Linked DNA regions of Rattus norvegicus. The protein of the gene in region 2 interacts with the protein of the main gene of each other region in a pairwise test. Links are inferred from orthologs where the notes say so. Each region holds a gene or a part of one and is shown on either strand. Other genes may lie near its edges.

The links.
Region 1: the proteins of Ush1c (region 2) and Ush1g interact in binary tests that used the Homo sapiens proteins (3 or more experiments, as listed by UniProt). The link is inferred for Rattus norvegicus from reciprocal best matches to the Homo sapiens genes USH1C and USH1G.

The regions. Positions count from the first base shown.
Region 1 is NC_086028.1:101,059,698-101,063,994, forward strand, and holds the start of Ush1g (pre-mRNA splicing regulator USH1G), read right to left. Parts: upstream 2,868-4,297; 5' UTR 2,865-2,867; coding exon 2,701-2,864; intron 224-2,700; coding exon 1-223. UniProt on the Homo sapiens protein: Plays a role in pre-mRNA splicing by regulating the release and transfer of U4/U6.U5 tri-small nuclear ribonucleoprotein (tri-snRNP) complexes from their assembly site in Cajal bodies to nuclear speckles, thereby contributing to the assembly of the pre-catalytic spliceosome on target pre-mRNAs.
Region 2 is NC_086019.1:105,862,885-105,866,694, forward strand, and holds part of Ush1c (harmonin), read right to left. Parts: intron 3,666-3,810; coding exon 3,522-3,665; intron 3,417-3,521; coding exon 3,278-3,416; intron 1-3,277. UniProt on the Homo sapiens protein: Anchoring/scaffolding protein that is a part of the functional network formed by USH1C, USH1G, CDH23 and MYO7A that mediates mechanotransduction in cochlear hair cells. Required for normal development and maintenance of cochlear hair cell bundles.

The DNA.
Region 1 (4,297 bases), on a different chromosome or scaffold from region 2:
GGGGTTGAGGCTGCTCTGCTTGGCTGCGATGGAATCCAGATAGCGCACACACTCCATGTGGCCCTTCATAGCGGCCATGTCCAGCGGCGTGTGGTAGTCATTGTCCAGGCACCAGATATTGGCTCCGAACGACACGAGGAAGGACAGGCAGTGCAGGTGGCCATTGGAAGCTGCCAAATGCAAGGGTGTGTTTCCCCAGATGTCACACTTATCCGGGTCACCTCTGTAGGGACAGCATGTAGAGAGGTACGATGAGTCCTTTTAGCAAGTCATTTCTGGGGTCTGATTGGAGATATAAGGAATCTTGAGGGGTGAGGAAAAGAAAAAAGAGGGAAAGCCCACAGACATTGTGAGCCCCCTGGACCTGCAACGTAACAGCCACTAAAACAGAAGTTCTCAACCTGTGGATCGCGATCCTCACTGGATCATCATATATTAGACATCCTGTATCTCATACGATTCATAACAGTAGCAAAATTACAGTTATGAAGTAGCAACAAAATAATTTTATGGTTGGGGTCACCACAACATGCGGAAACTATTAAAGGGTCGCAGCATTAGGAAGGTCGAAAACCATTGCCCTAAAATAAACCCATGGAATTGAGATTTAGACTTCCAGGAGAGCAGTGGGCTTGAGCCAACAGATGCATCATAACTACGCACAGCTACCAGGGGTGGCTGGGACCCAACCCACAAAGGGGCGGGGCGACCTAGGAGGCGGGGTGGGGCGGGCCTTCCCCTAGAGAACTGAGGGCTGGGAATCTCAGGGGATAAATATTTGATGCACTGAGAGAAAGGAGTGAATTATTCATGGGCCCTGCGGGGAGCTGGCCCAGAGAGGTGGTGGGCCAGGGCCGAGTCTGGGTCTTTAGGCAGGCGCGGTAGTTTATGAAGCCACGTTACAGGGTGACTGCGTAAGAGGACTAGAGGGTGGGTTGTGTTAGTGCTGGGCTTAAGCCTGGGAGAGCGTGAGACGGTGCATGCTGGTATACAGTGGGCACCGCCATGTCTGCAGGGAGCGGGGCCAGGCCTGGCAACGCCAGTGTTAGAGCAGGTGTCGGGTCTTGGCCTGGGCCAGAAGGGGACTGTGGGGACAGCCAGAACTAGAGAGGAAGAGGGCAGCGACCTGGTCGTGCTGTTCTCCCTCATTTAGGCTGCCCCACGAAGCTGGGTAGCTTTGCCCCCTCCGGCAGCCCTCTCTGATGCCCTCCACATCTGACTTCAGCCTACAGCCCACCCAGCTCTGCTGGCTTCTGTAGGAATCTTACCTCTTTGTCTCTGTTTATCTCTGTCTCTCTGTCTGTCTCTGTCTCTCTGTTTCTGTCTCTCTCTCTGCGCCGTCCCCCCACCCCCACCCGGGTCTAGCACCGGGCCCTACCCCACACTAATGAGGCCACAAAGCCAGCCTCAGGTCTGGGGGAAGAATCATTCCCTTATCTCAGCACCTCCCCTCCCCACAGCTTCCCCCTCTGATTACCCGTATAGGGTCCTGTAGGGAAGGGTAACAGACCCTCCCTCATCAAGCACAAATCCTTGCCTCAATAGAACCTCAGGGCTTGAGACAGCTTTTTCCTTCCAGACCCCACCTCCCTGCACGAGACTCCCATGAGCCTCTACGTTGGTTGGGGCCGGGGATATAGTACTGTGTGCCCTCCTGGAGTCTTGGGCTCTGTCTCAGTTGCCTGATTCCACATTATTCCCTCATGCTGCTAAACCAAAGGAGAAGACACAGAGAAAGAGGGGGAACATGTCCCCACATATTTTAGCTACTCCAATACCAGGGTCAGCACAATCCCTGCCCCTTACTATGACCCCTAGTTAGAGCCTGAGGCATTCATATGAACCCTCTTGGGGCATCCTTTTCCTGTCTAGGTCACACCAGAGTCGAGGCCAGTCCTACTAAACTGTTGACTGGTAGGATGTCTCCAGTAATGTGATTTAATCCCCTTCTCCCACCCCAAGCCACTTTAGTGATCCTAGATCCACATTGCTTGACTCATCCTCCAAACCCCTCGACTCGGTGCCCACCCTCCCTTCCAGGACAATGCCAGAGGGAGGGGGAGTGCAGATGTCCCTTCTGCACACTACAGTTTCCAGATCCTGGGTTCTGCAGAGGGGGAGGGGTACAGAGAGTTAATCACTGTCTGGACCAGTGACATTTGGTAGTGTGGACAGTGCCCATAAATCCCAGAAGAGTGGTGGGAAGGCACAGGTCAGTGTGAACCCCAGCCAGTGGGGACTATTGATGCTGTAGGGACAGTCTTTTGGCTCCTAGGTTGGGAAGTAGGCAGTGAAGGTCTCTCCTTCCTGAACTCCCAAGTTCTAGGCCCCTGGAGACTTCCCAGCCTTCTCTCAGGTTCCCACCTACTTTTCACTCTTGCTTCCAGGCACCCCCCAAAAATGTCTTTGACTTTTGAATAACTCTGCAGCCCCATTCCATAATCATAGATCCCATCCCCGAATTGAAGTTCCTCTCCTCTAATCCCTGCATCCAGTCCATAACTGTCACAAGCTCAGCTTATGTCCCCTCCACGTGTGTCTCTCAAAGTGTGGCAGGCTGCACGGCCCCACCTTACGGTCTGTCTGTAGGGGCAGAGGGCAGCTCAGACAAGGGGGTAAGTAATGCCATGCCGTTTAGGACACGGGGGTTCAAGGAAGTTCTTCCTGGTCTCCTGCTGGCTAGGCAGAGGATATACTCACCCGCGGCTCACAATGAGGCGCAGCGACTCCAGGTTGCCATGGTAGGCAGCCCAGAGGGTTGGGGTCATGCCATCCTCGTCGGGGGCATTCAGCTCCTTCCGGGTGGCCTCCTTGAGGAGCTCCAGATAGCCATCCCTGGCGGCCCGGTGATATTGGTCATTCATGGCGCCCGAGTTGGACGGGGCGGGCAAGGGGCACGGAGAAATGTCCCCGGACGGGGAGGGCAGCCGGCTTAGGGCTGAGACATGGGGTTGAGGGAAGGGGCTGGGCAGGGGCCTGGGCCGCCAGCCCCTGCTGCCGCAGATGGTGGATGCGGAGCGCCAGAGCCAGGGCTACAGACGACTACAGACTACTGGGACATCTGAGCTGCACACCCGGGGAGGGAGGGGGAATCTCTCACTGCCCAGAGAGCCGCCCAGGAGCTTCCCCTGGGTCCTAAACGCCATGTTTTTCAGCACACAGACGTGACTCGAGGAAAATCCAGCTCTCTTGCCCCAAAAACGTCCATTCTGGCGTTGCAGCCCTTGAAGTCCAGTATAGGGACATCTAGTATATCCTGGGCAGAATTCCAGGTGCTGGATTCCCTGATTTCTTCACTAGTCAAAAAAGACAGATCAGGGGTTGGAGAATGGTGTGTGAGGGTGGGATGGAGAGGCAGTTCTGATGTGGAGGACAGTGGGCCTAAGGAGCAACCAGGAGGACCCAGCGCAAGACCATCCGCGAGCAGGGCGCTACAGTCCCTGCAGTTAGCCTACAAGCGTGGGGTCACACAACAGTTCTCCAGCAGGGGGCGCAGGACGACTGCAGACCGGCTGAGGGCACCTCGTGGGAACCAGACTTTGCTGCGTCCAACCAGCATCTCTGGGCAGCGGTAGTAGGGATACAGGAAGACCGAATTTGGATCCCTCTAAGGGCAGGTGGGGAAAGGTGTCCGATCTCGGGACAGCAATTCAAAATCCAAAATATAGGTGGTTCCTAAGCTGCGACAGTGTCTAGGTGCATGCGGGTACGGGGGTGGGGGTCAGCTGTACAGGCTTTGGGTGGGTGTGATCTCTGAGCACCAGGTTATGGTGGGTGCTGGGGGCGGAGGACCCTCTGGGTACTGCAATATGGGGTCGTGCCCGAACCCTGGCCGCACCAGCGTGACAAGGTGAGGGGATCTTAACAGGTAAATATAAATCTCACCTTATCTGGCTTCCCTAAATTCAGCTCGGAGGAAAGATGGATCATGTGAGTGGGACTGAGAGGTTTATGGAGCCGAGCTCATGTGGCTGTAAATCACTCTGCCCTCTCCGGTATAAAGCACCGGTCCAGCCCGGCGTGGGAGAGAGGAGTCGCTTGCTGCCCCTTGACCCCCAACTTGGTGTGGGCTCCCAGTGCAGCCAGGTGCGTGCCCCTGGCCAGGAGACTGTCAGCTTTGGGGAGTGGGACTTTGTAAGGGATCTGGCCTAGGGCCACTGCTTCTCTTTGTACAATATTTCCGGACCGGGTGAGGAAGGTGCTGCTTATGGTGTTCCTAATTTTCCCCAGTGCTTGGTCCAGCACTCCTAGTCCCCACATTCCGGGGTTCCCAAATCCAGGGATCGCATGGGAGGAA
Region 2 (3,810 bases):
CGAACTACCCTCTGGTAGTGGAAGGCCACAGTTTTCAGTTTCAGGATGGAGAAAGCAAGATCTGGGCTGGGGAGAAGCATGCAGTTGGTGAGAAACAGAACTGAGGCAAGATTTAGAACTCTGTCCCCATCTCTTGGTACCTCGGTCACCCCACCGAGGGGCAATCAGGTTCTGGAATCCAACATCCCCATCTGGTCTTCGCTCCTCCCTGTCCTAGAAGCAGGCCTTTGTCTCTATCTGTTACCTACACCCGCGGTGAGCCAAAATGGGGACCCATGACCCTTGACCCAAGCTCACAGCACTAACATAAGAGTAATCCCATCCCATGGAAACTCAATGACGTTAAACCAACTTCTGAATCTTGATTCTGGGAGCAGGCAAAGGAAAGGGAACGAACACAGGGCGCTATGCTTTGGTTCTCCCAGGCTCGAATCCTTTTAAAATTCCTATTATTTTACGGCAGGAGTCAAGTCTCTTGGATTCTGTAAACCGTAGTTTCTTTCATATAAAACAGGGAATACCATGGAGTTAATGAGGGTTAAACAAACATATGTGTAAGTGTGTAAGGCCAGCCAGTACGGGGCCCACAGCAGGTTCTTAATAAACAGTTGTTATTATTAGAGGCCTTCAAAGAGGCAGCGCATGATGAGACTGCCCCCTGCTGGTCCTCACTGCTACCTCCACCAAAAAGTCAAAGGATCCTTGGCTATCAACATCTCCTGAGAGAAGACCGGGTGCTGAGGTAGGAATGGGCAAGAGACAGGATAGGGATGTGAGACAATGGTGTATTGCCCAAGGACATGAAGGCAGTGGCTGCCACGAGGGAAACGAGCTCAGGTGTCATGCAGGCTGAGGTTGTGACTCCCTGATACCCCATTACTGGTCTCTTGGAGAAAGGTTGGTATACGTGGGGGCCTCAGGGTAGACTCTGAGGGCACACGGTCTCCAGGTCAGTTCCCAGCCTATAATCTACAGTTACCTCTCATTACCACCAGGAAAGGGCGTGCCACTCTGAACGGCCACCTTCTCAGTGTCCCGATAGTGGGGCTCACTAAAGAACCTGCAGCAATCCTGGGGACACCGACTTTCAATAGAACATCTGGATAGCTCCCTGCACCTAATTTTTTACAACTCCAAAGGGCAGGAACTCGTGTTCCTGCTCTGCATAGAACCCGCCAAAAGGTCTTTATGTGGGACCACAGTGAAGAGACAGGGGATCAGGGAGGCGAAGTGATTTGTTCAAAGCCACTCAGTGAGTGAGGAGGCTGCTGGGATGTCGTCAGGACTCCAGGACAGACAACACACGTCGGCTTTCAGGTGTCTGGGAAAGGAGGCTAGGTGGCCAAGCCTGGGTGCAGTTCCTTGCGTGTTGCCTGCTGTGGAGTCCTGCCTTTTGTTCAGAGCCCTGGAGTCCCACAGAAGGCAGGGATTACTCTGTACGTCTTACAGCAGGGAGAGGGAAGGCAGGCAGAACCATTTTCTCCATAAGTAAACAGCCAGTTACATGCTTACATCAGTAAAGGACACAGTTAAACATAAGGAAGGTATGAAGAATCCTTAAGTATCCAGGAAGGGACAGGAGCCGTGTGGCTGAAGTCCCAGGACTAGGACCTGTTGGAGGGTTCAAGCCCCTGCAGGGCCCCCTGCGTCTCAGGGCAAATCCCTCTTGACTTCTAGAATCTTCTCTGTGCTGTCCCCCAGCACGAGAAACTTGATGGCTTGGTCAGTGGATGAAGGTGATTTTCTCCTAGCTCCTCCTGAGTGGAGTTCCCTGTATTGCTACCACAGGAACTTCCCAGGGACCCTAGTCGGAGTGATTCCCCCATGGCCCCTGGATAGGGTTGCAGGATCAACTTCCCTCTACTCCTTGCTCTACACAGAACCCTGCAAAAGAGTCTTTGTATGGAGCTCATAGTAACATGACAATCTGAGGGACAAAGAAAAGATGGGCCCCACAGCCCCGGAAAGGGGAGCGCTATTTCATAAGCCTGAGAAGCAGGTGGGAAGTTGGATGCCTGGGTTTCCTGAGCGTGCCCTGATGCCCTCCTTCATGAGGCTCTGCAGGGAAGCGCTTGTCCTCAGAGGAGTGCTTGTGCTGGAAAAAAGGGGGGCCCAGCCGTCCCTAAAGGGGGAACTCATTATGTTCTCTCCTCTGGCCGTGTTTCTGGGCTGGAAAATGTGCCACGGAGGGAAAGAACAATGAGAGGGCTGAAATTTCAGATGCCACCCGGAGCCCTGAGACACGGATTGCGAACAAAGCCTTGACTGTCAGCTTGCTGTCCCCACCCCCTCCTCCTTGGTCTCGCACCATTAGCCCTAGAGCCCCCTGAAGCCCCTGGCTCGTCCCCCGGTGGGGATGTTGATAGCAAAATCTCTGGAACTTTCTCTACCTGGATAGACAAAAACAGCCTTTAGTCCTGGAGGCCTGCCTACCTCTGCTTAGACAGGGACGTGGGGAGGAACTGCAGGGGAGAAGCCTGGGGTGCTGACTTGGCTCCAGGAGACCCAAGTTCAAAGCCTGGCTCTGCTGCTCATTGGCCCCTGCCCTTCTGTGAACACTCTAGAGTGGGGCTGACTCGTGTGATGTGTACTGACTCGTTGGAGGTGGTCATCAGGTCCCCGCTCTGTATGGATCTGTCAGTCTCACAGCCCTGGTGTATCAAGAAGCTGTGGTGACTGTCTCATTTACACCCCTGCTTTTCCAACAGCCTGATACGGCTTTACAGAGGGGGGAAAGTGAGGTCCAAGGCCAGGAGTAGAATGGGATGGTCCAGAGGCAGTGTCTGTCTTCATAGACATCAGTGCATTAGACTAAAAGGTGGCCGTACCAAGCTGCGGGTGCCCGCCTTAACCCTGCTCCTCCTTCAGGAAGTAGGAGGTTTGGGGAGGGGCTCAGTAGCAGTATCAAGAAGCAGCAGTCAGGCTCTTGACTTGACTCAAGAAAGCAGGCAAGGGCCGGATAGAGATTAGTGGTGGAATGTTTATGTGTGAGGGTAGACACAGATACATAGACACACGGACACACTCAGTTTAGTGGTGGAGTGCTTGCCTGGTATGCATGAACACACACAAACACACACACACAACATACACACACACACAGAGAGAGAGAGAGAGAGAGAGAGAGAGCATTTTCTGTATTCTGAAGGATTCCAAACACTCCCTTCCTTCCTCAAAGGCTTAAGAAAATGTGTGTCCACATTGTAACACAGAGTGGATCAGGAGGAGACAGGGCATTTGAGGCCCTGGCCCCATTCTACTGGCTCTGTTGACTTACCTGCAGCCCAACGCTGTCTGCCTGGCCACCTTTGATGAGATGGGAGATGAAGAGCCCACAGCCAAATTCCAGGCCTCCACGCACGCTGAGGCCAAGGCCCTCTGGGTGCAGACGGTCCAAACGCACCTCCTTCAGTTTCCTGTTACAGTCATGGGGGGGTTGGTTATGGTCCAGCTCAGGCTAACCCTGTGTTCCCAGGCTGGCCCCTCCCAGGCCTGGCCTCTGACTTGGGGACTGGATGCACCTGGAGCGTCGGGGTGTCAGCTGGTCATACTCCACCTGGTGCTTCAGTGGGATCAGGGGCCGGATGGCGTCGAAGAGTGGCAGGCGGTTGGGCTCATTGATGACCAGCTTCAGGTCTCCCACGAGCACAGCCACGTCCATGGTCCTTTAGAGATGTCAGAGGTTGGGTGAGTGGCTATGACCTTTGTCCCACCCCTGCACTGCTGGGCCTTAGCAGAGTTTATAAACAGGCACTGAAAATCTAAAGCAAGTTGGGTGACCAGAGACCAACAGATGTAGTGGCATGGGGA